2 linked regions of the Anolis sagrei genome follow. The protein of the gene in region 2 interacts with the protein of the main gene of each other region in a biochemical or structural test. Links are inferred from orthologs where the notes say so. Each region holds a gene or a part of one and is shown on either strand. Other genes may lie near its edges. The genes, in order: LNPEP and TNKS2.

The links.
Region 1: the proteins of TNKS2 (region 2) and LNPEP form a complex in vitro, tested with the Homo sapiens proteins (4 studies listed by BioGRID and IntAct, with this or other methods). The link is inferred for Anolis sagrei from reciprocal best matches to the Homo sapiens genes TNKS2 and LNPEP.

Annotation. Positions count from the first base shown.
Region 1 is NC_090022.1:252,783,599-252,799,313, forward strand, and holds the start of LNPEP (leucyl-cystinyl aminopeptidase), read right to left. Parts: upstream 5,954-15,715; 5' UTR 5,819-5,953; coding exon 5,797-5,818; intron 1-5,796. UniProt on the Homo sapiens protein: Release of an N-terminal amino acid, cleaves before cysteine, leucine as well as other amino acids. Degrades peptide hormones such as oxytocin, vasopressin and angiotensin III, and plays a role in maintaining homeostasis during pregnancy.
Region 2 is NC_090023.1:185,261,357-185,277,717, forward strand, and holds the start of TNKS2 (poly [ADP-ribose] polymerase tankyrase-2), read left to right. Parts: upstream 1-10,109; 5' UTR 10,110-10,311; coding exon 10,312-10,546; intron 10,547-16,361. UniProt on the Homo sapiens protein: Poly-ADP-ribosyltransferase involved in various processes such as Wnt signaling pathway, telomere length and vesicle trafficking.

The sequences.
Region 1 (15,715 bases), on a different chromosome or scaffold from region 2:
GAAAAATCAGGACATTCCTAGAGAGGTATTCTCTCAAGTAAAAAAAATAGCAGGGTTTTAACCTTTGAGTACATTTCTCTAGGAATTTCTGGATCTAGAAATTTAATCAAATTTAAATCCAACTGCAGAATGAATGCAGTTTGACACCACTTGTCATGTCTCAATGTTGTGGACTCATGGGAGAGAGAGTTTGGTGAGGAATCAACACTCTTTGGCAGTGGAGGCTAAAGTCCTTGTCAAACTACAACTCCCATGATGCCATAGCACGGAGCTATAGTAGCTACGGTGGTGTCAATGTGCATGAATTCTACAGTGTAAAATGCACACAAGTCTCAGCACAAGATCAATGTATGATTCATATACACTTTACACCAGGCATGGGCAAACTTTGACTATCCAGGTGTTTTAGACTTCAACTCCCACCATTTCTATCAGCATAGGAATTGTGGGAGTTGAAGTCCAAAACACTTGAAGGGCTAAAGTTCACCCATGCCAACTTTGGCCCTCCAGGTGTTTTGGACTTCAACTCCCACAATTCCTAACAGCCTACCAGCTGTTAGGAATTGTGGGAGTTGAAGTCCAAAACACCTGGAGAGCCAAGGTTTGCCCATGCCTGCTTTACACAAATAGCCTGGAAGTTTATACACAGTATTTTAAAATATTTTGTGCATGCAACCACATAGGTGCACAAACCTGGCTTCATGCACAAATACAGATATTGTATTCTAAAAATAGAAAATAAAATCCTAGGAAATCTGACCCCAAGCATTCAGATATGAGTTATCCAACCTGTACTATTATGAACAGTAAACAAAATTACAGAAACAAACAAACTGAAGGTGCTGGAAGAGTTTGTGTCACTTTGGGGTCAGAGGCATGGCTGCTGTGTTGACAGGACATACAGCCCTCCTTGTTCCATTCTCAGGGGGCTCCTGGGCTCTTCCCTTGGCCCTCTCCAACTCTCCTGAAAGACCTGGCCTTCAAGATACAACCTTCCCTTCCGAAAAAGCACCCTCTGGGGCCTTTCCCCTCCCCTCCAACCCAAGCAGAAGCAGAAGCCTTAGCAGCATCTCAGGCGAAACAGAAAGAGGCCGGCTTCCGCCACACGCCAAACTTTCCCTCCATCGTGCCTTGTGCAAAACCACGGAGGGTGGGTTTTACCCCAAGAAGGAGGGAAGGGCAATTGGGGGGGGGGGGGTGAGAGAAAGAGGGAGGAAGTATAAGAAAAGGGGGGGGGGAGAATGAGATATAAGAGAGGAGAATGAGAGATAGAGGGGGGAAAGAGAGTACGAGAGAAAGAAAAAGGGGGAGAAAGGGAGTGTGAGATATATGAGAGAGGAGGGAGAAAGACAGGGAGTATGAGAGCAGGGGGGAAGAGATGAGAGGAGGAGTGATGGGGAGAGTGTAGGAGAAAAAGAGAGAGAAAGAAAGGGTGTATGAGATATATGAGAGAGGAGGGAGAAAGACGGAGAATGAGATAAGAGGAAGAGAGAAAGAGAAGGAGTTGGAGAGACAGAGGGGGAATGAGAAAGGGGGAGGAAGAAAGAGAGGGAGTATTTATTTATTTATTTATTTATTATTTATTTATTTATTTATTTGGTATGCTTGTATACCGCTAATATCTCAGCCTGTGCGGCGACTCATTGCGGTTTACAACATGTTAAAATATACAATTCATTTAAGCATATAAAATTAAAATAAAAATACATACAAAAAACATACACAGTATTGGGCCACCAATACAGATCGGGACATCTCATAGTTAAAATCATCATCCAATTCGTTATCTTGATTGCTAATCCATGGTCAGATAAAACATCACATCGAAGGTCAATTGAAGACTTGCTCAAACATCCAGGTTTTTAGTTTTTTCCTAAATGCCATTAGCGAGGTGGCTGATCTTAATTCAGTAGGGAGGGCATTCCAAAGCCGGGGGGCCACCACAGAAAAGGCCCTATCTCTCGTTCCCACGAGCCGCACCTGTGAAGCAGGTGGGATAGAGAGAAGGGCTTCTCCTGAAGATCTAAGGGTCCTGGTGGGCTGATAGGCCGAGATACGTTCGGATAGGTATGTAGGGCCAGAACCGTTTAGGGCTTTAAAGGTCAAAACCAGCACTTTGAATTGGGCTCGGTAGCTAATCGGTAGCCAGTGAAGCTGGTACAGCAGAGGAGTTGTGTGCTCCCTGCGTCCAGCCCCTGTTAATACCATGGCTGCCGCCCGTTGGACTAGTTGGAGCTTCCGGGCCGTCTTCAAAGGCAACCCCACGTAGAGAGCGTTGCAGTAATCAAGACGGGATGTAACCAGAGCGTGGACTACCGTGGCCAAGTCAGACTTCCCAAGGTACGGTCGCAGTTGGCGCACGAGTTTTAACTGTGCGAATGCTCCCCTGGTCACCGCCGAAACCTGGGGCTCCAGGCTCAGCGATGAGTCCAGGATCACACCCAAACTGCGAACCTGTGTCTTCAGGGGGAGTGCGACCCCGTCTAACACAGGCTGTAACCCTATACCCTGTTCGGCCTTGCGACTGACCAGGAGCACCTCTGTCTTGTCTGGATTCAATTTCAATTTGTTCGCCCCCATCCAGACCGTCACAGCGGCCAAGCACCGGTTCAGGACTTCGACAGCCTCCTTAGTAGCAGGTGGGAAGGAGTGACAGAGTTGGACATCATCTGCGTACAGATGACACCGCACTCCGAAACTCCGGATGATCTCACCCAGCGGCTTCATGTAGATGTTAAACAACATGGGGGACAGTATTGAACCCTGAGGAACCCCACAAGACAAAGGTTGTGGGGTAGAGCAGGAGTCCCCCAGTGACACCTTCTGAGACCGACCCTCGAGGAATGACCGGAGCCACTGCAAAACAGTACCTCCGAGACCCATTCCCGCGAGGCGTCCCAGAAGGATACCGTGGTCGACGGTATCGAAGGCCGCTGAGAGGTCGAGTAGCACCAACAGGGACACACTCCCCCTGTCGAGCTCCCGACGGAGATCATCCACTAAGGCGACCAAGGCTGTCTCGGTACCATGTCCCGGCCTAAAGCCAGACTGTGCCGGATCTAGATAATCCGTGTCTACCAAGAATGCCTGGAGTTGTGAGGCCACCACACGTTCCATGACTTTGCCCAAAAAGGGAAGATTGGAAACAGGCCGATAGTTTACCAATTGAGTGGGGTCCAGTGATGGCTTCTTCAACAGCGGTTTTATCACAGCTTGCTTTAAGCTGGCTGGAAAAATGCCTTCCCGAAGGGAGGCATTAACCACCACCTTAACCCACTCGGCCAATCCCCCTCTGGCCTCCTTTAGAAGCCAGGATGGGCAGGGGTCTAGGATGCATGTGGTGGCTCTCATCCCTCCAAGCACCTTGTCCACATCCTCGGTTTGAACCAATTGAAATGAATCCATCAAAATCGGACAAGCAGATGCTCGTGTTACATCCTCAGAGACTGCCGTTAATGCGGCGTCCAGTCCAGAGCGGATCAAAGCGACTTTGTCTGCAAAGAACCGAGCAAAAGCTTCACAGCGAGCAGCCGAGTCATCAGGGCACCCATCCTGAATGGTGGGTTTTAAAAGGCCTCTGACAACTCGGAACAGTTCAGCCGGACGGTTCTTTGCAGACGCAATAGTGGCCGCGAAGAAAGTTTTCTTAGCGGCTCTTATTGCCGCGGCATATGACCTTAAAAAGGCCACAAACCGTGTTCGGTTTGACTCGCTCGGATCCGAACGCCACACGCTCTCTAGTTCCCTCTTCTTTCGCTTCAACACCGCCAGCTCCTCAGTAAACCAAGGGGCCGGTTTAGATCGGCTACTTGAGAGGGGACGTTCTGGAGCGATCGTGTCTATTGCCCTGGTCATCTCCCCATTCCAGAGAGCGACCAGGGCATCAACAGGATCACCAACCGCGGTGGCGGGAAAATCCCCAAGAGCCATCAGGAATCCTTCCGGATCCATAAGCCTCCTGGGGCGGACCAATTTAATAGGTCCTCCACCTCTGCGGAGGTTAAGGGGCGCAGTAAGTCTAAAGCTGACCAGGAAGTGGTCGGTCCATGGCAACGGAGAGATGGATAACTCCTCAACACCGCCTCCTTCCTCCCATCCCTGACAGAAAACCAAGTCCAATGTATGTCCAGCACTGTGGGTGGGGCCAGATACTTGTTGGGACAGACCCATGGTCGCCATGGTAGACATGAAGTCCTGAGCCGCTCCCGTTAGGGCAGCCTCAGCATGGACATTGAAGTCCCCCAGCACAAGCAGCCGCTGGGACTCCAATGCCAGGTCCGAGACTACCCCCGCTAGCTCAGGTAGGGAGTATGAGATATATGAGAGAGGAGGAAGAAAGAAGAAAACGAGAAGTAGAGAGGGAAAGAGAAGGGGGAGGAAGAAAGCATGAGATATATGAGAGAAGAGGGAGAATGAGAGTAGGAGGAAGAGAGAAAGATGTAAGAGAAGGGGGAAAGAGAAAGGAGAGAGATAAAGGGGAAAGAGTGAAAGGGAGAGGAAAAAAGGGAGTATGAGATATATGAGAGAGGAGGGAGAATGAGAGGTCTCATACTCTCTCTCTTTCTTCCCCCTTACTATCTTATTCAGTGTGTGTCCCCCCCCCTCTCCTTCTCTTTCCTTCCTCCATCTCTCATGCTCATCCTTCCTCCTTCTCTCATGCTTCTTCTTTCTTCCCTCTTTCCCTCTCATTCTGTCTTTCCCCCTCTATTTCTCCTTCTCCTCTATCCCTCTTCTTATATCTCTCATTCTCCCATACTCCCTCTCTTTCTTACCCCTTACTCTCTTATTCAGTGTTCCTCCTCTCCTTCTCCTCTCTGTATCCCTCTTCTTATATCTCCCTTTCTCTCTTCCTTCTCTCATACTCCCTCTCTCTTTTCCCTCCTCTCGCATATCTCATACTCCCTCTCTTTCTTCCTCCTCTCTTATCTCTCATTATCTTCCTTCCTCCATCTCTCATATATATATGAGAGGAAGTAGAAAGATAGAAAGAGGAGTTTGGGAAATAGAGGGGGGAAAAGAAAGAATGAGAGAGAAGGGAGGAGGAAGAAAGAGAGGGAGTATGAGATATATGAGAGGAGGGAAAGAGAGGGGGAGTATGAGAGGAGAAAGAGAGAGTGAGAGATATAAGAAGAGGGATACAGAGAAGGAGAGGGGAACACTGAATAAGAGAGTAAGAAAGAGAGGGAGTATGAGAGAATGAGAGATATAAGAAGAGGGATAGAGAGAGGAGAAGGAGAGATAGAGGGGGAAAGGCAGAATGAGAGAGAAAGGGGGAAGAAAGAAGGAGCATGAGAGAAGAAGGAAGAGAATGAGAGATGGAGGAAGGAAAAGAAAGATAAGAGAGGAGGGAGAAAGAGAATGAAGGACAATGAGATAAGAGGGGGAGAGAAAGTGACAAGAGGGGGAAGGAAGGGAGAGGAGGAAGGCAGAAAGGGGGAGAAAGAGATTGAGAGGGGGAAGAGAGACAGTGAGAGAAAAAGAGGCAGTAGAGAGAGACTGAAAACGAGGCGAGAGGGCGAACGAAGAAGGGAAGGAGAGATGGGAGAAAGGGAGAGAGAGGCCCCCTCCCCTCCTGACCTTCGGGCTGCCCAGAGCCATGCGCGGCCTTGAGGCTGCCTCAAGTTTCGCAGCCTGGGCAAGGCGAGGGCCTCTCCTGAAGGCGGCCTGTGCTGCTAAAGATAACACCAACCACAGTAAGGCCTGGCAGGCGCAACGAGCCTGGTTGCGAGGGGGGAACAACCCGCCCGGCGACTGGGAGGGCGCGCTAGGCCCGAGGCGGGAGGCCGCCCTACTCACCGCCGCTGGGGAAGCGCTCCATGTTGCTGCGGAGGGCCGCGGAAGCCCGAACGGGGAGGAAGAGGCTCACGAAAACACACGCAGGGACCGGGAGGGAGGGGAGCAAGCCGGCTCCTCCTCACTCGCCTTTCCCCTCCTCCTGCTGCATGTCTCCGCCCGCAGCGAGGCACTAATTCTACGACGTAGAGCAGGCCCAGGCAAACTTAGGCCCTCCCTCCAGGTGTTTTGGACTTCAACTCCCACAATTCCTAACAGCCTCAGGGCCATGACATTTTCTTAAAACTCAAAAGGTGTCCTCAAAACCCCAGCAATGTGCAACTTGTTGGATTTCATCCCTGGACTACACAAGCCTTTGTGTCATCAAGTTTCCAGTCCTCAATGAGTAGCTAGACTAGAGACAGGGCTAAGCGCAGGGATTCCTTTTCCCACATTCCTACGCATGTTTCCTAAAGGGTTTTGTCTTTATCTCTACTGCTAGCCAGTCTCCGCCCCCTTTTGATGACATACTAATGGAATTCTGTGAGGGAACTTCCTTTCAAGTTTAAATTGCCCCAGGAAGGCCATGTGGTGTCCACTATGTTACTGCTGCTTTTCTTTCTCCCTGTGAGGACGCATTTTGCCTCTTTGTAGGCAAAATGTAGCTACATGGACTTTTTTTAACCTTCTTTGTTGTTGTTTATTCATTCCGTCACTTCCGACTCTTCGTGACCTCATGGACCAGCCCACACCAGAGCTCCCTGTCGGCCATCACCACCCCCAGCTCCTTCAAGGTCAATCCAGTCACTTCAAGGATACCATCCATCCATCTTGCCCTTGGTCGACCCCTCTTCCTTTTTCCTTCTATTTTCCCCAGCATCATTCTCTTCACCAAGCTTTCCTGTCTTCTCATTATATGGCCAAAGTATTTCATCGTTGCCTCTAATATCCTTCCCCCCAATGAGCAGTCAGGCTTTATTTCCTGAAGTATGGACTGGTTGGATCTTCTCGCAGTCCAAGGCACTCTCAGGACTTTCCTCCAACACCACAGTTCAAAAGCATCTATCTTCCTTTGCTCAGCCTTCCCTATGGTCCAGCTCTCACATCCATAGGTGACTATGGAGAATACCATTGCTTTAACTATGCGGATCTTCATTGCCAGTGTGATGTCTTTACTCTTCACAATTTTATCAAGATTGGTCATTGCTCTCCTCCCAAAAAGTAAACGTCTTCCGACTTCCTAGCTGCAGTCTGTATCTGCATTAATTTTTGCACCTAGAAATACAAAGTCTGTTATGCCGCCATGTTTTCTCCCTCTTTACCTTCTTTAGAAGATGAGATTTATTTATTTATTTATTTATATTATTTATTTATTTACTTTATTTGTATACCGCTCTTCTCAGCCCTTAGGCGACTCAGAGCGGTTTACAACAGTTTAGATATACAGGATACAAAATCATTATGCATTTAAAAAAACAAAAGCATCACAAGTCATTAACATCATTAACATCAGCATCAAAACACCAATACATCAATTTAGCGAGATAGTTAGCTCCAAAACTTTTCTATCAACAATGTATTTTTTACTTTAATAAATCTTTTGAACCTCAAGATTGCCTCTGCAACCCTCAGCCATCCTAAAGATTAAAAGGCTGTTCCTGCTCACCACACATAAGTTTTGCTAGTTATGGAGTTCACTCTTGTTATTCTGCTATATTTTGGTTGAATTACCCTAACTGAGGGTTATTTTTGAGCCTAACAGCTCAGGTTCCCCAACAGTAACTCTTAGAGCATGTCTAAACAGACCAAAAGAAAGCCTTGTAGGCGCTGAAATCCAGGTGCATGACATTCTTGATATTTTGCTTGAAATGAGACTCTTTGGGCTTTAATCCAGTTAAAAAATTACATTTCCTTTTACTATACAGTTTTCTAGGAAAATCGGGATATATCTATATATATATATATATATATAGATATATATCTCCAGATATATCCAATATATATAAATATTGGCATGTTGCCAATTTTTTAAAATATTATTATTTATATCCCATTTAAACTTTAAATAACTCTTTAAAGTTCTTCAGTTGAATTTTTATGTAAGTCGAAATAGGTACAAAATTTGGCTTGTTGTGCAAACAAGAATTGGTGAGAAAGCTTCAGACACCTTTCCCCCATGTCTCTCTTTAAAGATCTTCAGTTGAACTTGTAAGTAAGTCAGAATAGGTACAAAATTTGGCTTGTTGTGGAAACAAGGATTGCTGAGAAAGCCTCAGCGGAGACACCTTTTCCCCATCATAACTCTTTCAAGAGCGAATTTCCCTTCTGAGGGGAAGATTTCTCTCACTTCCTGTTGTCTCACCTCCATTCTTAACTATGAGTCATTTGTAAGTCGGGGTTTGTAACTCGGGGAAGAGGGATAGAGAGAGGATAGCCTGTATTCAAGTCGTCGTTGTGTGCTATCAAGTCATTTCCAACTTATAGTGACCCTAAGGTGAACCTGTCACAGGGTTTTCTTGGCGACATTTGCTCAGAGAGGATTTGCCTTTGCCTTCCTCTGAGGCTGAGAGAGTGTGATTTGCCCAGAGATACATAGTAAGTTTCCATGTCCAAGCAGGGATTTGACCATGTTCTCCAGAATCAAAGTCCAATCAATGCTCAAACTATGACACCACACCAGTTTCCTATTTGCAAATATATTTACCAGTTACCTATCTATTCAAGTCAGCCTGTTGCAAACTATGAGAACCCATGCAGCTCTTCCTTGTGATCCAGTATTTGAAATACATAAGCACGATTTTATATAAACATATATTACTGCATTTTTGTTGCTTTGTTGCATTCATAAGCAAGAAATAAGCTGTAATAAAAGAATTTGTAATTAGCAAATAAAACCACTCATTTCCCCTTTTTGCCATCCTTTGAGGTATCCACGTTCTATTTTTTGAAACCTCCTAAACTGCACAAAGTTATTTGCATCTTATTTGTATTCCGAAAACAAATAAAAGTACGTAAATCTGCAAAAACTTTCTGACTTATTAAACAGGCCAGCTCTTTAGAAATGAAAGTCTTTTGTTTGTTGGAAGACTTTGATTTCTAAATGAAAGGAAAAACACTAAATTTCAGGTATTTTATCCCATGATATTTCCAGTCTCTTGTTTCTCTAAATGAAAACATAATACTATTATGAGGAAATTACATTCAATTCTAGAAATATTTTTTAATTAGATTTAGAAAAGGAATGTTAAACTTTAGAAATTTTGATTGAAGTACAAAACCAAAGTCGTAGACTTGCTTTTAGGAAGAGCAGCTTGCTGACTCATGCTTATTTCTCTTTAAGCTCAAGTTTCACACATAATTTCTGGTCGCTTCTGGGTGCTTTTCTTCTCAAGAACAGACAAGCACCTTGAGCTCTGAGGATTACCTGGGAAGGAATCCCACCGGAGCATTGCAGCACACCCAAATACCTGGGAGTTATCCTGGACCATTCTCTGACCTACAAGAAGCACTGTCTGAATATCAAGCAAAAAGTGGGCGCTAGAAACAATATCTTACGAAAGTTGACTGGCACAACCTGGGGATACCAGATACAGTGAAGACATCTACCCTTCAGCTTTGCTACTCTGTTGCTGAGTATACATGCCCAGTGTGGAACACATCTCACCATGCTAAAACAGTGGATGTGGCTCTTAATGAGACATCATGCATTATCATGGGGTGTCTGCACCCTAAATCACTGGAGAAATTTCAGTTTAGCCAGTATTGCACCACCTGACATCCACTGGGAAGTAGCAACCAATAGTGAAATGACCAAGGCAATGACATCTCCAGCCCATCCCTTGTTCGGATATCAGCCAGCACACCAACTACTTGAATCAAGAAAAAGTTTTCTAAGATCTACAAAGACACTTGCTGGAATATCTCAGCAAGCAAGAGTACAAAAGTGGCAGGCTAAAACCCAGAACCTCAATCAATGGCTGATACCAAATGAGAGACTCCCTCCTGGGCACACAGAAAACTAAGCGACTTGGAAGGTGCTGAACAGACTGCATTCTGGCACCACGAGATGCAGAGCCAATATTAAGAAATGGGGCTACAAAGTGGAGTCCACGATATGCGAGTGTGGAGAAGAGCAAACCACAGGCCACTTGTCACATGCACAATGGAGGACCTTCTTATAGCAACACCAGAGGCATTCCAAGTGGCCAGCTAATGGTAAAAGGACATTTAATAGAATGCCAAGTTTTCAAACTTTGGGGAGTTTTTTTCTAAAAAAAAAAAATACAACTGTTTGGTTCGCTCCTGATACAATAGACAGACAGATAGGAAGTATTCTGTATTGACATGTGTAATACACTGCTCTGCAGGCTGGATTTTCTTCCACTGGCATGTAATTTCTGGTCACAGTTGTGGTCCATGAACCTAATTAGGGTATACAGGCAGTCCTCAAGTTACAAACAAGATAGGTTCTGTAGGTTTGTTCTTAAGCTGAATTTGTATGTAAGTCAGAACAGGTACTTTTTAAAGTGTGATTCCAGCCAAAAATATATATGTTTTAGTTTTGGATAGCATAAGGAAGGGCTAACACCCCGTGGTGTGTTTTGCTGTCTGTGCCCCTGTTCAGATTTCTCCTCACTTTGTGTCCCTGTGATAATTGGATTTTGAAACATTTGGCTTTTTTGTGGAAATAAGGATTGGTGACCAAGCTTCAGTGGATATACCTTTTAACTCTTTCAGGAGTGAATTTCCCTTCCGAGCAGTAGATTTCTCACACTTCCTGTTGTCCCACCTTCATTCTTAACAATGAGTCATTTGTACGCCGTATGTTTGTAGCTCAGGGACTATCTGTACTGTTAAAATTTCGCAGCATTTTGGCTAATAGTCCACAACAGTCCATCTACACATGTATTTTAAGCCTGAAAATGGACAATGCATTTAGATGGCACTTGATAGAACCAGAGGCATTTCATCTTATCTACAGACCACATATCATTAGTCTTAAGTGAATGACATTGGCTTCCAGTTAGTTCCAAGCTGAGTTCTGGTTCTAATACGGAAAGCTATCAATGGCCTGGGGTCAAGAAACTATCTCCTCCCAAAAGAACCTATCCAAAATCTGAGATTTTTGACAGGAGCCCTGTTGATGGCAGGACAGGACTTCCTCTGTAGCAGCATCTTGGGTTCACAGCTCCTACTCAAAGGAAGTCATGCTGGGTGCTCAGTTCCCTTTTGAGTTTCGAGAAGGTAGCTGAAACTTATTACTCTGCATTTCCTTCAAATCATAAGAGACTGTTGGACTGCTTTAACAGTCTGTGGTTTAAAAACTATTTTAAGAAGTTGTTTTATTTGGAATGTTTTTATGTGTTTCTTTAAAGTTAAAAATGTTTTCCCTACATCTGTCACATGTTGCCTCAGGGGCTCTGGAAGACTGACAGGTATTTCACACAATTAATTTAAAATACATGATCTAAGTAGGATCTTTCAAACTGGCAGCCTCCAGATGTGTTGGATCCACTGCACTTTCATTATCCACTGCACTCTCATTATTACACTAAAACAGATTGTCTACTCCAAACCATTTGGGTGATTGAAAGTAAAGTGGGTGCCATTGTAGTTTCGTTAGTCAGTTAATAATATTAATCCTTACTTCCCTTATCCACAAGTAAGAAATTGGTGGGTGAGGCCACACTGCAGCTGTTTTTTTTTTCTCTCCAGTCAAAATTAAGTCATATCATTAGCAGCACTGCTTTTCTATTTTTCTTTTTAAAAACCAGCAACAACTGCAACCACCCCCATAATAACAATTTTATTTATACTCCACCTTTTCTACACAAATGGGTGCAAGTCATCTGAGGAAAAAGGAAAAACACAGAAAAGAGAGCAAGGAGAGATGAAAAGAAGAGAAAGATTGGTGCACTTTGTAAATAATTACACATGAATCTCATTAAAGTAGCTTATCAGTTAAAGATAGGCCTTGTGTGTGAGTTGAGGATTAATAATCTAATCATCACTTCCACAAGAGACGAGAATGAGTGGCTTTGGAAAGATCATGAAAGACTTTGAAAGATGTTTCAACATCAAAAGAAAAAATATTACCATAATACATAATAACATATGTGCCTATGTGAACTTGCAGAATTTTAATATAATTAGCTTCAGTGTTTCTGATCTGATTTCTAGTTCCATCTTGTTGGAAATAGCGTTGCCAGATCCTGGGGAATTGACCTTCTCAGTGGTGGCATCATAGATATATAATACTCTCCTGACAAGACAGGTGGCTGTCATACCCTTCTTCATAGATGGGAATAACAGCTCTAAGTCATGTCTTGATCCACACTGGACATTGCAGAAATCACGGGCAAGATAATATATTTTTCCCTTTCTGTTGCTTTGGTTTTATTGCAATTTTATGGAGGCATTAAAGATTTGGCAACATATTAGATAAATGTGTACTTAATGGTAAGTTGTTTGTTAACAGCATGCCATCTTTTAGCCAAGTTTGAAGGGGCCTACTGGGTTTTTAAAATAACTGTTATTTCTTTTTATTAAGACATTGTCTGTTTCAGTAAACTACTCTTATTTTATTAAATCTAGAAATGTGAACAATCAGTAAAAAAAAAAAAAAGAAAGAAAGTATGGCGTTTAGAACCCATTCTATACCCCTGCTGCTATTTTTAATTGTAGTTTTCAATACTTTCAAGTCACCAGTCATGGATACAGATACATTCTATGAATGGTAACGGTAAAAAAAGAGACATAGTCACAACTCTGTGTGATAAGAGAAGTTAAAAAGCAAACACTGCCAAGGACAAAAAGGAAAAGAAAAAAAAGAAATTGGGTTCACTAAGGCAACAGTGAATGCAATAGATAAGCCATTTCACAGTTTCCCTTGTTTGCTCTACAAAACAAACAAGCAGAGATATAATATTTTAGGTAGGATTCAAACCTTTTACTGCAGGAACAGAAAAATGTCCACATCTACACGGGGGCGGCAATTATGGGGTAAATACTACCTTCTTTGCTGTCCCATCATGAGTTGGGCTTTACTGAGTTCTTAACCTTGATGAAGTGGGTCTGAGAACAGCTTTTGCGAAAGAAAAGCTACATATGAACAAGTAGAATAGCATGCATGGAACCTTGGATTCCAGCCATAATGAAGTCACACTAGCTGTTATTGAGAAGAAAATCAAATTATGTGACAATAATTAGGTCTTACAGAAACAGAAGCTCCTAAAAATCATCAAATGAGAAAGATGTTGGAAAATCAGACATTCTCTTCCCAATCCTCGTACTGATGTTAGAGGAATTAGGGAGTTCAGATAATATAGATCCCAGTGCAAGATTATACACATTCTGAATTCCTTGGCTAAGATTTTGCCATTTGTTCTTCTACCTCTTACAATGCATTATTATAAATACTTTGTGGATCTGTATCAAATTCCTCTTTGCCCTTTTTCCCCTCCTCAACTGGAGAAGATGGTGAGTTGAAAGCTCACTGAAGCACTGCCTTTGACCTAATCTTTTCATTAGTTAGGATGTAAGGATGTCAGGTGCATGTGTACAATCTAAAAGCAATTACTAAGTCTTTTAATTTGAAATATGATACCGCCTGCTTTTTTCCCCTCACAAGTCTCAGCCAGGAAATTCTTTTTCATGCTGTGGATGGTTGAATCTCAGGAGTCAACGTTCTATATTGTCAGATTCTGCATCCAGGGATTCAAACATCCAGCTTGGAAAAAATTTAAAACAAAAAAACCTTGATCTTGCCATTTATATCAGAGAACTTGAGCCCCATGGATTTTGGTATCCTAGTCCTAGAACCCATTCCCAGTGGGTTCATTTTACTATGCCATTATATATAGTAGAAACTGAGCACCTATGGATTTTGGTATGCAAACAGGGTCTTGTGACCAAACCCCAGTGGATACTAAATACCCAAGATTGAGGCCTGTAATTCTGCTAAACTCTGATGAGGGATATTGTTTCCTAATAGAGCCATATTTTTGGCTAACACACCTCATCACACTAGAAAATGAATCTATTTTAAATCCAGTTGCTTCCTCCTGCAGAATTCTGGGGTTTGTAGTTTAGGGAGGAGCCTTTAACAGCCTCATTAAACTACAAACCCCAGATTTCTGCAGGAGGCAGAAACCAGATTTAAAGTGGATTCATTCTGTAGTGTGATGAAGGATAAACTCTTTTCCTCACTTAAGACTATTGCAGAAATATCTCAGCACCTTAACTTCAGTTCAGTGCATCTTCTGCTATCTTTCATAATTAATGCACAAAAGCTTGTGATACAGGCCTTCCTTTGAATGAAAGGGACATGGATTGGAAACCAATCATACAGGGGACATTGGTGCAATTGGTCCTTCATGTTGTTTGTGCTATGACTCATTCATAGTGAGTTGTTATGTGAGACTAAGAGTTTTTCTTCAAGCATACATATGTGTCCTTGGCTGTGAATCCCCATAAGACTTATCTGCTAGTTCCTTTCTCACAGCCATCAACTATTCTAGGAGGACAGCCCCTTTCCTGTTTTCAGTTTTGAAAGATGATTGTTGATAGTTCGAATCAAACGTAATGGCTCCTTGAGGAGATCCAGAAGCCCTGGCTGAGATCCCAGGAAAGTCAACCACCCACCAGGAGGAGAATTATCATTTGGGATCTGTAGCACTGGAGTGAATTTTGGAGGGCTCATTTTGACAGAACCCATAGTCACAATCACAAGGGATGTTCAGAAGTGCAGACAGCTGTGCTGATCTTTGTCAACAAATACATTTTGGCAATTTTCTATTTCCACCAGAAATTGATAATTTTGTAAAGCGAATTGCTCAAGCCATCTGCAAGTAATTTCCCTGACAAGAAGATTGTTCATATAGGTATAGTCTTCAGCTACTGTGAGGCTTTCAGCTAATTTTAGGCAAAAATATGAAGTTGAAAGGGGATACATGATGTCTTTGACTCTACTAATTGAAACATCCTAGCAGTTGTAAGATCATACGAGCCATGGCTTTATTATACTACAACTTCATGTTCTTGCTTTGCTATTATGAAAAAGTGAAGATTGGCTGCTTCCAGCTTCCTTGGGGAGAGAAACAGCGGGGTGCACATTATTATTATTATTATTATTATTATTATTATTATTATTATTAACCAGCTGAAAGCATCTGACCACCTGCTGTTTCAATTGTTATCTAGGATGTAGTTCCATTCTACCAGGACACTTGAAGAGGCCTATCCATCTGATTTGGCTCTATTTCTATTGCATGTAATGTTTTGTGGCCATGGCTGGATGCATTAAGTAATCATTTGAGAGACAGCTTTATATGTTGTAGTAGAGCCTCTGAGTAATGTTATAAACAGTAGTATGGGTGCCAGAGGGGGGAAAAGGGTTCCTCGGGAGCAGGAATCTGATGATGACCAGCAGAGGAGGAGAATCCAGCACATATTTACAGCACCTACAGATAAGGAGTCGTTTGAGGGATTCTTTGGGGATGATGGGTCCAGTAGTATGGGTGCAAGAAGGGGGAAAAGGGTTACTTGGGAGCAGGATTCTGATGATGAGTAGCAGAGAAAGAGGATCCAGGACATATTTACCACACCTACAGATGAGGAGTCGTTTGAGGGATTCTCTGGGGATTATGGGTCAATGAGTGAAAGAGAAGAAGGAGACACCATGGATTGGACTAAGATAAGAGAAGTGCAAGCTATTTGTGAGGAGCCAACAACTAGTGATACCTCTGTGGGGTTCCCTGGAGGTGAAGACTGGCAATCAGGGGATCCAACGGACTTTTGGGGGGACCTAAGTCTTAACAGGAGATGGAGGACTTGGAAGGAAAGACAAGGAATTTACATGAAGAGCCGCGAGCAGCTGCGGGGGATAATGATGGGGTGGTGGTCAGTTCATCTTCTGATGATGATTTGTAAATAAAAGTGGGTT
Region 2 (16,361 bases):
CATATTTCTAAATAGGTGAACAAAATGATGGATGGTGGTTATTGTACAGTGAGGGGTTAAACTGCAAGTTCACATGTAAACTGATGAAATCTAAACTGGCAGTGACTAATCACAATCTTGGTGTCGTGCTAGATAGAGCATTTAAAATGTCATTTCAGAATGCAACAGCTGCGAAAAAGGCTAATTCTATGCTAGAGATCTTTAGAAGTGCATATAAAAGGTTAGTATTGCAGCCATGGTTTGAATGCTGTGCATTTCTACTCTCAAAAGGGATTTTTTTTGTTTTGTTCTAAAAACTGTCTGAAACATCAATTCATCATAATGGCCCACACCTGGCTCTGGCAAAGACTGTGGGTTAGAGGCGTGAAATTTTGTCCATTGTGTTTTTCTGCCCTCTGGTGGCACAAAATATTTTCAAACATTTAAATCTGTTTCACTTTTGCAGATTTTACGATTCACAAATTTGATTAAAATGTTCTTTGTAGGAATCTCTAGACTAACACCTCCCAACAAAGAACCCCTCCAGGCATTAAGCAGCCAGGCTTTGAAGCTGCAAGGACATTAAATGCTAATCAAGATGGCCAATTGCAACATTCACACTTGCCTCCAACGTCAGGAGAAAATGCTTCAGGAACAAGACCATACAGCTCAGAAAACTCACAGCAACCCAATATCTAGGTTCTCCAATACAATTTAATTGTCCCCTTATTATTATTATTATTATTATTATTATTATCTTTATTTGTACCCCGCTAGCATCTCCCGAAGGACTCGATGCGGCTTACAAAGGCCAAGGCCTCAAAAACATAGCATAATAAATACACAACTTAAAGCAAATCAAAAACAATTATAGCAATATCAAAACAATAAAAACAAAACAATACACCAAAATACAATAAAACTGGGGCCGGACCAAATGTAATGGGTACAGATTAAAAGTGCTGATGTGATAGGTGGTGTAACGAAGCGTTAATCCCACCGCTTATCAACCAAAAATTATGTAAAGAAGCAGCGCTAATCTCACTAGATGCCACCAAAAATTATGTGAGGAAGCATTAATCTTCTTTAATGCCACCAATATTCTGTGAGGAACCTTCTTTTAAATATCCATTAAGCTGCCACCAATATGTTTAGAGACGCTGGTTTATGTCTCTGTTTATCTTTAGTTGGGTTGTGAGGTGATTTTGGTAGTGTGGAATGCACCAAGCATAACAGCAATGGAGGAGGCAGGTTTGAAATAAAAAGAGAACAAGTTTTATTGTTAACAGAACGTAATTGTTGCAGTTTTGAGAGTTTGAACTTGGCACAAGGCTTGATGTTACAAAATGGCTGGTTTGAGATACTTTCAGGCTTCTGAATGTTACAAATCTACAAACTCCTTCTTTAGTGAAGTGCTTATACTATTTCAGAGTCCCTTATTGTGAATGTCCACACTGTTTGCCCTATACTCGGAACAAACCACTGATCACCAGTCTTTCCTTACTGGCGATCCTTAAAACCCCCTCTGTTAGATTCTTTAACCTAAGCAATCTAACAAGGTAACACCTTCAGCTCTCTTGCTGAAGAAATATTCACAAATTCTAAGAACTGCTGAATTCTCACAGCTTCACAACAGAGCCCTAACTGGCTCTCCTCTTCCCCGGGTCTCTTCCACCGGACTGGAGCTTAACTGCCACTTTCAAACCTTTTCCTCCTTAAGCTCCGCCCACCTCCTCTGAGGCTTTGTCTTGTCACCATGGCAACCTATCCCTCACAGCTAGGCCATGGCAATAAATGTAATACATAAATACAGATTCAACACAGTACATTAAACACTCTATAATAAACATTATAAATACAGTTTAAACACATTATAAATAACACTTTATAATGAACACATCTCTACAGGTGGTATGTCGGATTTTAGGGGTAAGTGCAGCAGATGTTGACCATAGAGCTAGTAGGAACTAGAGATTCCTACAGAGATCACCATTTAAGGAATCTCCAGTGTGGTTCTACGGTCAACTTTGACTCATGATCGAGGATCTAGACCAGTGTTTCTCAACCTGGGGGTCGGGACCCCTGAGGGGATCATGAGGGGGTGTCAAAAGGGTCACCAAAGAACATCAGAAAACACAGTATTTTCTGTTGGCCATGTGGATTCTGCGTAGGAAGTTTGACCCAATTGTATTGTTAGTCGAGTTCAGAATGCTCTTTGATTGTAGGTGAACTATAAATCCCTGCAACTACAACTCTCAAATGTCAAGGTCTATTTTTCCCAGACTCCACCAGTGTTCACGTTTGGGCATATTGAGTATTTGTGCCAAGTTTGGTCCAGATCCATCATTGCGTGAATCCACAGTGCTCCTCTGGATATAGGTGAACTGCAACTCCCAATCTCAAGGTCAATGCCCTTCCAGCGTTTTCTGTTGGTCGTGGGAGCTCTGTGTGTCAAGTTTGGTTCAAATTCATTGCTGGTGGAGTTCAGAATGCTCTTTGATTATAAGTGAACTATAAATCCCAGCAACTACAGCTCCCAAATTACAAACTCAATCCTCGCCCAACCCCACTATCATCCACATTTGGGTGTATATGGTATTTGTGCTCAATTTGGTCCAGTGAATGAAAGTACATCCTGCATATTGGATATTTACAACTTATAACAGTAGTAAAATGACAGATATCAAGTAGCAATGAAAACAGTATTATTGTTTGGGGTCACCATAACATGAGTAACTGTATTAAGGGGTCACGGCATTAGGAAGGTTGAGAATCACTGATCTAGACATTTCTAAACCTGTTATCCCAAGTTTTTCATTTTTGTGGGTGCCCTGTGCAAATTTGAAGGGCCAGCTATATAATGTGGAGCCCCCGGTGGTGCAGTGGGTTAAAGCACTGAGCTGCTGAGCTTGTTGATCGAAAGGTCGCAGGTTCGATTCCGGGGAGCGGCGTGAGCTTCCGCTGTCAGCCCTAGCTTCTGCCAACCTAGCAGTTCGAAAACATGCAAATGTGAGTAGATCAATAGGTACCGCTCCGGCGGGAAGGTAACGGTGCTCCATGCAGTCATGCCGGCCATATGACCTTGGAGGTGTCTACGGACAACGCTGGCTCTTTGGCTTAGAAATGGAGATGAGCACCACACCCCAGAGTCAGACATGACTGGACTTAATGTCAGGGGACTACCTTTACCTTTTTAGCTATATAATGATGTTTATATATAATAATGTGCATCATGAAGCATTGAATATTTCAGCATGTGACAACCCTCAATGTAAGGAAACTCAGCGGTAATGAATTATCCCACAAGGGCTTTTTGCCATCCACAGTTTGAGCTCCCCAAACCCACTATTCAATAATTTGAAACAGTCCAGAATTCTTTCCTTACATTTTTGCTTCTATTGTTGAGATATTGCTTTGTCTCTAGTGATGCATACAAAGTACTTTGGTTTGACAAAAAGTCAGTTCTTTACGACAACACGATATTTAATCTGTCACTCTTCTTTTGTTGTTCTCAGAGTGGCTTGCAGCATAAGGATAAAACCAATACAATATAATCATGGCAATACAAACAAGACTACACATTCTTTTGTAAGCTGTTCTGCAACCAGTCCTAGGAACAACACCAATATTGAGACTAAAAAGAGTTACAAATCAAAACGAGCAGTAGAAGAAATAAAAATATTGCGTACTGGAAACTCATTACAGCTGAATTGTCTTCAGTTTCCAATAAACAAACAAACAAAAAAGATCGAGCAAGAGAGTCTTGACTTTAATGGCTCTCTTTGAATAATAAGCTTGCAGACAAATGTTGAACTGCTCTTCTTTTTTGTTTTTTTGAGATTTGTACTTTTTCTCCCCATGTTATTTCTGACTCTGTTTACTGATTTTTTTTTAAAGTAATGATCAGGGACACATCTACTTTGTTAACTGAGGTATATCTGTATTGATGTAATCGTGGTAAAACTCAGGTGTGAAGGACTCCCCATCCGTTCCCAGACAGGGCTGTGTGGAAGGGTCCTCAGATAACCCAGTTCAAAGCAGATATTGTGGGATTTTCTACCTTGTTATTCTAGGATATAGAGCTGTGTAGAAGGGCCCTGAGTTCACGCTACCATATATTTCAGTTCAAAGCAGATAATGTGGGATTTTATTCAGCTGTGTGGAAGGTGCCAGAGGGCCCTTCCACACAGCCCTTTGTTGCATGATATCAAGGCAGAAAATCCCACATTATCTGAATGTGGACTCAGGACCCATCCAGACAGGGCCTTTATTGTAGGAACTCTCGCAATAAAGGAGGAGCTGTCCAGACAAAGATCTGGACAGACCCGTATTAATTCGCTACAAACCAGGAAAACCCTGGTTTGTAGCAAAATAAATTGTTAGTGGATTTATTCCGCGCCTTCTTGGAAAGTGTGGGATGTTGTTGTTCATTCGTTCCGTCGTCTCCGACTCTTCGTGACCTCATGGACCAGCCCACGCCAGAGCTCCCTGTTGGCCGTCACCACCCCCAGCTCCTTCAAGGTCAGTCCAGTCACTTCAAGGATGCCATCCATCCATCTTGCCCTTGGTCGGCCCCTCTTCCTTTTTCCTTCCACTTTTCCCAGCATAATTGTCTTCTCTAGGCTTTCCTGTCTCCTCATGATGTGGCCAAAGTACTTCAACTTTGTCTCTAGTATCCTTCCCTCCAGTGACCAGTCGGGCTTTATTTCCTGGAGGATGGACTGGTTGGATCTTCTCGCAGTCCGAGGCACTCTCAGAACTTTCCTCCAACACCACAGCTCAAAAGCATCGATCTTTCTTCGCTCAGCCTTCTCTAAGGTCCAGCTCTCACATCCGTAGGTTACTACAGGGAATACCATGGCTTTGACTAGGCGGATCTTTGTTGCCAGTCTAATGTCTCTACTCTTTACTATTTTATCGAGATTGGACATTGCTCTCCTCCCAAGAAGTAAGAGTCTTCTGATTTCCTGGCCACAGTCTGCATCTGCAGTAATCTTTGCGTGTGGAATAAAGCCACTATTTCTGGGTCTGGACTGCAGAATATTTATTTATTTCTTTAGAACTTTTATATCCCGTTCTTCTCTACCTCTGTGGAGGGACTCAGAATGGCTAACAGCAAAATTCAATGCTATACAATAAATGTCATAAAACTAAATAAGTTCTAAAATACATATAAAAGACAATTCATCAAGTTAAAAACATCATCCAATTCAATCCAAACATTGTGGTCAAATAACTCTTAGTCTATACTGGATCATCTATCTATCTGCGAATACCTGATTCCAAAGCCAGGATTTTAGCTGCTTCCTGAAAGACAGGAGGGAGGGGGCAGAACTAACTTCATTGGGGAGGAAGTTCCATAGCCGGGGGCCAGCACAGAGAAGTCCCTGTCTCTCGTCCCCACCAAACACGATTGTGAAGGTGGTGGGACCGAGAGCAGGGCCTCTCCGGAAGATCTTAAAGTCCTTGATGGTTTATAGGAAAAGATACGTTTGGACAGGTAAACGAGGCCAGAACCATGTAGAGTTTTGTAGGTTAAAACCAGCACTTTGAATTGTGCTCGGAAACTGATTGGCAGCCAGTGGAACTGGTGTAACAAAGGAGTTGTGCACTCCCTGGACCTCACTCCTGTGAGCAGCCTGACTGCCAAGCGTTGGACTAATTGCCAAGCGTTGGACTACCGGGCTGTCTTCAGAGGCAACCCCATGTAGAGTGTGTTGCAGTAGTCCCACTGTTTAGCAGGCTAAATAAGCCCAGTAAACTGTGACTTCTAGCTCCTTTGGGTTTGTTTTATATCATTTCAGAGGTTTAATGAGATAACACATGCTCAGTATAATTCATTTATAGACGCAGTCAGTCTACTCCCCCAAGGTGATGTAACCTCAGAGTTAGATCTTAACTCCGACAGCTTTCCATCAGATTAAATTAACCAGCTGATTGCATCATTGTTCTCTATGGGGCACATGATTTGAATTAATTATCAGTCAGTTCTTGTTTATATTATGATATCTTGTTTCTAATTGTATTGGTGTTCTTTCCTGGAATTCAGCTGTCTCCAGGCCCTGTTCTATACTATATGGTACAATCAAATGTTGTGGAACACCCATTTCTTTAAGAGGGGTTCATCGTTTTTCATGAACTATACATGTGCTTACTTCCATATCTTCCATATTCAACTGTATAGGATATAACTGCTATGCATGCATATTAGCCCAGAAAAATGAAAGTTTGGTGAGACTAGTGGCATACAATCAGGCTGCATGAATCTGTCTTCATGGCAATGTATTACATAATAGTGGTGCTGTTTGCTAAACACTCTGGAAACTGTCAGAACTCTATAAGAAAAAAAAATAAGTGGTCATAATGATCATTTAGTATTGTGCTTAGCCATCTCATCAGTGTGAATGGACTTATCATTATGTTTTTATCTAAATTGTTGCCCAGTGGGAATCATGGATTTGACAAAAGAAACTCCATGACTAGGGTTGATTGCCTGAGACCTCTGAATGATGTGTGGGTGTTTGGACAAATTAGCAACCTAGAAATTGCAGAAAAGGAAGAATTTCTAGCTGTAGGTGGAACACCACCTGGGGAGTCTATCATAGGTTACTCTTGGCAGGGCACTGCTGCTGGATTTGTAATGCACTAGTTGTATAATTACAAATTACATTCTCCATTGCTTGACCATCCAAAAGGAAACTAAAATGTTCACCTTTTCTTCTCGCTTTGTAGTGTGAAAAACAAAACATGGTCATTTAGAGAAAGTGGGAGGGACAGCAACTCTGCTTGACTTATGAATAAGAAATTATAGCATTGGAAGAGATGCCAAATGTCAGAATAATCCTTACCGAGTAAGGACACAAAGAAAAAACCATCCTGACCAATGGCCACCCACATTCTTTAAAAAAATTCCAATGAAAAAGTACCCAATTCCATCTTGGACATTGTATTCTGCTGCTGCCCAGCTCTTGCCATCACGATATTCTTCCTTAACCTTAGGCTGAACCTCTTTTCTTGCAGCCTGAATCAACTGGTTCATGTCCTGGGTCACAGCTACACTGACAATTTAGGTCAGTGCGAAACTGGTAAAGAAGAAAGGTATTTCACTGTGCAGATGATTACATGTGAAGTCCTGGGACCAGTTAAAGGCCTGGATGGCATTTATATATACTGCAGAGGCTGACCTCCAATTGGTTCAAGGAACCAAGCATCTGCAACTTGGGTTGCTGTGAGTTTTCCAGGCTGTATGGCCATGTTCCAGAAGCATTCTCTCCTGACGTTTTGCCCACATCTATCGCAAGCATCCTCAGAGGTTATGAGGTCTGTTGGAAACCAGACAAGTGGAATGTCTGGGGTGGCAGAAAGAACTCTTGTCTGCTTGAGGCAAGTATGAATGTTGCAATTGGCCACCTTGTTTAGTATTAAATAGCCTTTCAGCTTCTAAGCCTGCCTGCTTCCTGCCTTTGTTGGGAGGTGTTAGCTGGCTCTGATTGTTTCCTATCTGGAATTATCTATACAGATCTGCTGCTTCTTGGCCATGGGGCTGGGGGCTGGGTTTTATTCCCACATACACTCGCTGCAAGGCATATATGTGGATCACCACAGACTCCATTCGTTAATCGGTTTCACCATGTGATGTGTTTTACTTTCAGGCACACTGATGTGTATTGTGTGTTCTATTGCAAACCACCCCAACTTTGCTTATCCCAGTTTAAAGCCCAAAATGCGCCTTGCTGCAAGTGCTGACGTCGTGCATCATCTAAACACCATGATGTCAAGTTACCTTCTGACTGCATTAAGTGGTGATAAGGATGTGTCAATTGTCTCTGTAATAGGAAAAATAACAAGCTTGCTCCATCTTCTACATGATATCTCTTCAGGTATTTTAAAATGTCATTTCTCAGTCTTCTTATACAATCCCTATGTGATTTAAATTGACATTTTCAAAAATGGAGGATTAACCATTATACATTTCTTTGAACTTGAAACCTTCTCTGCACCAGTTAATCATAATTCAAGAACTGTGGCCCTATCTCATACGTCCAGTGGTGGATGATGAAAGTTGCAACTCAATCATATGTGGAGAGATACACATGCCCCCACCGGAAGCTAAATCAATCTGGCAATGAAATGCTCTCCAATCTTCTACTCCATCCTAAGGTAGTTACTATATAGAGGTATACTGGCGTCCGCAACAAGCCAGCTAACACAACCAACCCAAGACTGGACATTTTGCTTCGCTCAGTTAAACACATTTTGTTTTTTCTAAACTCTACCATTTACAGATATTTGGTATGTTCACAATATGACTTGGTATGTTCACAATATTTTGTTTGAATGTTGTCTATATGCCAAGGTGAGATCCCAATGTTTATAATCACTCTTGGTTAGAACAACCAACTGGGATCCAATTACTAAGCTGTCCTATTTTCTTTCTGGGGAGAACCTACACTTAGGGCCCTTCCACACAGCCCTATATCCCAGAATATCAAGGCAGAAAATCCTACATCATCTGAGTATGGACTCTTATAATCTAGTTCAAATCCGATATTGTGGTATTTTCTGATTTGCTATTCTGGGATTGTGAAAGAGCCCTTAGGCCCATTCTACACTGCCATATAATTCAGATTATTAAATCAGATAATCCACATTATTTGCTTTGAACTGGATTATAAGAGTCTACACTGCCATATCAATTTCATAATCCAGTTCAAAGAATATAATCTGGATTTATATGGGAGTGTAGAAAGGGGCCTTTATCGCACAAAGAGCCCTTCCATACAGCCCTATATCCCAGAATATCAAGGCAGAAAATCCCACAATATCTGCTTTGAACTGGGTTATCAGAGATCACACTCAGATAATGTGGGATTTTCTGCCTTGATATTCTGGGATATAGGGCTGTGTGGAAGGGCCCAAAATGGGGTGCCTTCTCTTGGTGATCAACGTATCTAAATTCTGATTCTTTTACACTTGTCTCTCTACTCTCCCTGCTTTCATGTTTTAATTTAATCCCATTTTACCAAATGTATTGTTTAATCAAGTTTTATTGCATTTTTATTTATTTTAGTTAACTATCACAGAAGTTTTAGGATAGTTATTAGTGTCTATTTGTCTGTGTATTTTTTTGTCTCTTATTGTCAGTGGAGTAATCAATACACAGATCTATAGATCATGTCAATCAAATTGGAATATCTTTTCTATTGTCAATATGGTCAGTGGACGGATCAATAAAGAGATCTCTCATATCGTGTCAATTAAATTGGAATATCTTGTCTTCTATTGTTGATATGGTCAGTGGACTCAGCAATAAAGAGATCTACCATATCGTTTCAACTGACCACCCCGATTAGCATTTGATAGCCTGGCAGTGCCTGGAGCAATCCCCTGCTGAGAGGTGATTAGATGTCCCTGATTGACGTCAGGAGAGAATGCTTCTAGAACATGGCCATATAGCCGGAAAAAACCTACAACAACCCAGACCATAACATATCCATTAAATTGGAATATCTTGTCTTCTATTGTCAACAGGGTTAGTGGGTTGATCAATACACATCTGTCATGCCAATTACATTGGACTATCTCTATGAATGGCACGACCTGAGAGGAGATATGACAGCCATGTATAAATATGTCAGAGGAAGCCACAGGGAGGAGGGAGCAAGCTCATTTTCTGCTTCCCTGGAGACTAGGAGGCGAAACAATGGCTTCAAACTACAAGAAAGGAGATGCCATCTGAACATGAGGAAGAACTTCTTGACTGTGAGAGCCGTTCAGCAGTGGAACTCTCTGCCCCGGAGTGTGGTGGAGGCTCCTTCTTTGGAAGCTTTTAAACAGAGGCTGGATGGCCATCTGTCAGGGGTGATTTGAATGCAATATTCCTGCTTCTTGGCAGGGGGTTGGACTGGACGGCCCATGAGGTCTCTTGCAACTCTTTGATTCTATGACCTCCTTCCTCAAATACCTGACCCACTCTGGAAAGGAGTCTCTTGCGCATGCGCTGTGCTCGCTTTAACTGTGTTTTCCCCGCACTTCTCCCTTCTCTCGCTTCACCTTCCCCCATGCGCGCGCACCCTGGATGCTCCGCTTCCCCTCCCACCGGGGAGAGCACGCGCATGCGCCGTGCTCTCCCTAACCCTGTTCCCTGCGAGTCCTCTCTCCCTCCTCCCCCCTCTTCCCTGTGCGCGCGCACCCTGGCTGTTCCGCTTCCCCTCCCACCGGGGCCGCTGAGGCGGAGGCTTCTTTTCTTCGCGCCCCCCTCAGAGGCCGCTTCTTTCTATGGCGGGCCTCCGGGTGTGAGTGGGAGCCTCGGGAGGAGGAGGCGGAAAAGGCATGGCTGGGCGGAGGGGCGCGGGCGGGGCGGAGTCGCTGCTCCCCTCCTCGGCGTCCTGCTTCGGCGGCGTCTCTTCTTCCTCCTCCTCCTCCCTCCTCTCGGAGCCTGCCCGCGAGCTCTTCGAGGCCTGCCGCAACGGCGACGTGGAGCGCGTGAAGCGGCTCGTGAGGCCCGAGAACGTCAACGGCAGGGACACGGCCGGCAGGAAGTCCAGCCCCCTCCACTTCGCTGCAGGTAAGCTACCTCTTCGAGGGAAGGCCGCACCGGAAGGAGGGAGGGAAAGATGGAAGGAGGGGGACCTTCTCTTTAGAGGCCTCAGGAAATTGGGCTTCAGGTGAATCCTGGACAGGTATGAGCAAACTCTGGCCCTCCAGGTGTTTTGGACTTCAACTCCCACAATTCCTAACAGCCTCAGGCCCTTTCCTTTTCGGCTGAGGGGGGAAAGGAAAGGGCCTGAGGCTGTTAGGAATTGTGGGAGTTGAAGTCCAAAACACCTGGAGGGCCAGAGTTCACCCAATATTAAATATTTATTACACCGCAATATTAATATTTATTAATTTATTTTAAGATATTTCTACCCCGCTTTTCTCCACGGCATGACCCACAGCGGTTGACAGCATAGAAAACACACAATATCAACAATAAAGCATAAAGTAACAATAATTTCAAACTTTCTTTATTTCCTGTCCCATCTGGGGCTCTGGGCGACTTACAGCAAAAACAAACAAACACACAGTAAATTTATTTATTGTGTCATCAGCAACCATACCATTGTATTACATTTCTAACAGAACGAAACAAACAAACAGATGTTTTAAAAAAAACACAGATTTTGCAAACTTTGTAGTTGATTAAATGTCCTTTGACCAGTATCTGGCCACTTGGAGTGCCTCTGATGTTGCTGCAAGGAGGTCCTCCATGGTGCATGTGGCAGGGCTCAGGGTGCATTGTAGCAGGTGGTCAGTGGTTTGTTCTTCTCCACACTCGCATGTCGTGGATTCCACTTTGTAGCCCCATTTCTTAAGATTGGCTCTGCATCTCGTGGTGCCAGAGCGCAGTCTGTTCAGTGCCTTCCAAGTCACCCAGTCTTCTGTGTGCCCAGGGGGGAGTCTCTCATCTGGTATCACCCATGGATTGAGGTGCTGGGTTTGGGCCTGCCACTTTTGGACTCTCGCTTGCTGAGGTGTTCCAGCAAGTGTCTCTGTAGATCTAAGAAAACTATGTCTTGATTTAAGTCGTTGACGTGCTGGCTGATACCCAAACAAGGGGTGAGCTGGAGATGTCGCTGCCTTGGTCCTTTCACTATTGGCTGCTACTTCCCGGCAGATGTCAGGTGGTGCAATACCAGCTAAGCAGTGTAATTTCTCCATTGGTGTGGGGCGCAGACACCCTGTGATAATGCGACATGTCTCATTAAGAGCCACATCTACTGTTCCACACTGGGCAAGCGTACTCAGCAGCAGAGTAGCATAGCGCAAGGGCAGATGTCTTCACTGTGTCTGGTTGTGATACCCAAGTTGTGCCAATCAGCTTTCGTATAATGTTGTTTCTAGCGCCCACTTTTTGCTTGATGTTCAGGCAGTGCTTCTTGTAGGTCAGAGCACGGTCCAAAGTGACTCCCAGGTATTTGGGTGTTCTGCAATGCTCCAGTGGGATTCCTTCCCAGGTAATCCCCAGAGCTCGGGATGCTTGTCTGTTCTTAAGGTGAAAGGCACATGTCTGTGTTTTAGATGGATTAGGGTAAATTATATAACACAAACAAAATCACATATCAAGTTTACCCATGCTTGCTTCACACCGCAATATTAATATTTATTAATTTATTTTAAGATATTTCTGCCCCGTCTTTCTCCACGGCATGACCCACAGCGGTTGACAGCATATAAAACACACAATATCAACAATAAAACATAAAGTAACAATAATATCAAACTTTCTTTATATCCTGTCCCATCTCCCCGAAGGGGCTCTGGGCAACTTACAGCAAAAACAAACAAACACAGTAAATGATATAACACATATCATATATCAACAATAAAACATAAAGTAACAATAATATCAAACTTTCTTTATATCCTGTCCCATAATAATAATAATAATAATAATAATAATAATCTTTATTTATACTCCGCCACCATCTCCCCAAGGGACTCGGAATGGCTTACATGAGGCCAAGCCCAACAGTACATCAATAACAAGAGCAATAAAACAATAAATACCATACAATTAATATATCACATATAAACAATAACCAATAAATAGTAACACACAAGGATTTAAAAACCTATGGCCGGGCCAAATGTAATGGTTTTAAAAATTAAAAAATAAACGCTGGGAACGAACAAGGTAGGATATAACTCGTATAGGGTTTTCAAAGAGAGATGAGGGAACACAGTCAATCCCAAACCAGTAGTAAAGTGCATTCTGAGGGCATATTGCTGAGAATTTTTCTTATTCTGGGAAGGCACACTGGAAAAGCCATGTTTTCAGACTCCTCCTAAAGACTGCCAGAGTTGGGGCATGCCTGATGTGCTTGGGAAGTGAGTTCCAGAGTCGGGGGGGGGGGGGCACTACCCAGAAGGCCCTCTCTCTCGTCCCCACCAATCGCGCCTGTCCCATCTCCCCGAAGGTGCTCTGGGCGACTTACAGCAAAAACAAACAAACACAGTAAATGATATAACACAGACAAAAATCACGTATCAATATTGTGCAATAATGTCCCCAAGCTAGTATGTATATTTATTTATTTACTACATTTATATACTGCCCCTCTCAGCCCACAGGCAACTCAGGGTGGTTTACAGTCAGTATCAAAGACATAAGATACAATTTAAAACGGTTCGTTTAAGTTTAAAACCAAGTAAAACAATATCAATAAAAACATATCAAGTTGAGTCTCTTACTTAAAAGCGTTATCTAATAGCATTGTCGAGTCGTTCCGTTTTTTTTCTCTCCATGTCTGTTATATTGTGTCTGCAAACGCTTGCTCAAACAGCCAAGTCTTCAACTTCTTTCGAAATGTTAAAAGGGAAGGGAGGGCATTCCATAGCCAAGGGGCCACCACTGAGAAGGCCCTGTCTCTCATCCCTGCCAGACATACTTGTGACAATCTTAAAGCCCTAGCGGGTTCATAAGGGGAGATGCGTTCGGACAGGTAAGTTGGGCCAGTACTGTTTAGGGCTTTATAGGCTAAAGCCAGCACTTTGAATTGTGCCTGATAGCACACTGGCAGCCAGTGGAGCTGGCTCAGCAGGGAAGTTGTGTGTTCCCTGTGGACTGCTCCTGTTAGCAATCTGGCTGCCGTCCGTTGGACCATTTGAAACTTCCGGACAGTCTTCGAAGGCAACCCCATGTAGTGTGTGTTGCTGTAGTCTATACGGAATGTAACCAGAGGGTGGACTACCATGGCCAAGTCAGACTTCCCAAGGTACGGGCGCAGCTGGCGCACAAGTATATAGATCAACATCATTTTAAACCAGCCAATTCCTATGATCAGGGTATCCAGCATTATATATTATACATAGCCATTTAAAGTCCTGTCCGATAAAGAGGTTGATACTTTTAGCCCTTATCAAAAGCCTGCTTAAATAGCCATGTTTTCAACTCCATCCTGAATGTTAAGAGGTTGGGTGCTTGTCTAATTTCCCTGGGGAGGGCATTTCAGAGTCGCGGAGGGGGGTGATTACCTCTTCCTCATCCCTACCAACCTTGCTTGTGAGGAAGGTGGAATCGAGAGGAGGACCTCCCCAGTTGATCTTAGAGCCTGAACTGCTTTATAAGGAGTAATGCAATCACGTAAATAGGCAGGGTCTGAACCATATAGCCAAGATCTAAAAACTTGGCTCTTCCGATGTGCCTTTGGAGACTGACCATTCAACCCATTTTATTTGTTTCCATCTACAGTTCTCATGATGCACTTCCCCCCTTTATAAAGGTCAAGCCCCACTACTCCCCCTTCTTGGGCTCCTCCTGCACAAATACACTTTTTCTATTCCTATCTCACCCAGGGTTTAAACATTTTATCACGTGCATTTGGCCCGCTCTTTATATTTGATTTGTATTATATTATTTTGCACTGTTTATTCTATTTTGTTACTTTATGTATTTTGTTGCAATGTAATTTTTCTGTTGTTTTGTGTCTAACTTTGCTGTATTGTTTTTGGGATTGACCTCATGTTAGCATCCCCGAGTCCACTTTGGGGAGATGGTGGCGGAGTATAAATAAAGTTGTGGTTGTTGTTGTTGTTGTCATATAGGGCTCAATCTGCACTTTGAATTGGGCCCGGAAGCAGATTGGCAACCAACATAGCTACTTTAAGAGAGGGGTAATATGTTTCCTGCAATCTTTGCACTAATTGAAGCTTCTTGACCATCTTCAAATGCAAAAGTTAAAACATACTAAAAAACACACATACAACTTCCACCTCCCCCATATCAGCCCCTCAATTAATAGTCATACATTTTTAAACTCAACCCATTCCAATGGCACGTGTCTTATTCAAAGGCCTTGAAAAGCAAGGTCTTTACCCCCTTCCTGAAGCTTAGGAGGGATGGGGCTGATCTTAGTTCCTCCAAGAGGGAGTTCCACAGTACTGGAGCTGCCCCAGAGAATAAGCCTTCTATCATTTTCTGTAAACACATTTTTGAATGGGGCCGAGTAGCAATTAGGGTCTTCTTGCTGGACCTCAACTCTTGACCAGGAGCATAAAGGAACACACGATGTTCCTGGTAGGCTGGACCAAAGCCATATAAGACTTTATAGGTGAGAACCAGCACCTTGAATTGGGCCTGGAAACGGATGGGCAGCCAGTGAAGCTGTCTCAGGAGCAGGGTAGTGTACTTCCTGATACCAGCTCCCCATTACCAGCCTGACTGCAGGTCTTTGTATGAACTGTAGTTTCCAAACACTTTTCAAAGGCAGACCTATGTAAAGCGCGTTGCAATAGTCCAGTCTGGGTGTAACCATTACGCATACTACTGTGGCTAGGTCATCTTCCTCCAGGAATGGGCACATTTGGTACACAAGCTTTAATTATGCAAAGGCCAACCTAGACACCACTGCCACCTGGGCCTCTAGGTTTAAGGCGGAGTCCAGGAGGACCCTCAAACTGCGCACCTGAGATTTCAGGTGAAGTGTAACCCCATCCAGCTCAGGTTGTAATCCAGTTCCTGGATCCATCTTCCTTGAGACCAGCAGTGCCTTGGTCTTGTCTGGATTGAATTTCAGCTTGTTCACCCTCATCCAGTCCATCACTGTCCTCAGATAACAGTTCAGGGGAAGGTCTGCTTCCATGGAATCAGGTGGAAAGGAGTAGTAGAGTTGGGCATCATCTGCATGCAGCTTGACCCCACTTGAACAGTCTTGGGTCAATGCTAAGGAATCCTGTGAGCTATTATTATTATTATGTTTATTTATATCCTTTTTCTCTCCATACGGAGACGCAAAGCAGCTCACAACTAAAAGCATTGCAATGCAACTTTAACATATACAAGTATTAAAACACTTTTGAACATCATTAAAAGCATATAAAATTACAGCAGTCCGTGACATGATCTTTAAAACCTTATTTAATAGCCTGCCTAAATTAAAAGGCTTTAACCTGCCTCCAGAAGGACATCACTATTTCTGAGGATGCTTGCCATAGATGCAGCCAAAACGTCAGGAGAAAATGCCTCTAGAACATGGCCATAAAGCCCGGAAAAACCTACAACAACCCAGTATTTGTATAAATTTTTGCCCATGGAAGATATACATGTAATTACTTGTTTCTTCTGTCGAGTATAAAATTAATGAAGAATTGCATCCCTAGCATGTAACAGCAACAAATGCTATCTAATATAGAATTTAAAGTGTGTAAACTCCTCTGAATTTGGTCAGAACAGTTTCTAAGAACTAGTTATGCTGTGCAGCAAATCACTATTAGATCACTGTAGATACTGTCTGTTAAAGGTATACAGCATATTGTCAATTCACATATTTTAAATCAAGTTCTGCTAGGTTAAGTAACTTGATTTAAGAGAGAGATAGTTGGTGAGAGAGTTGGAAATA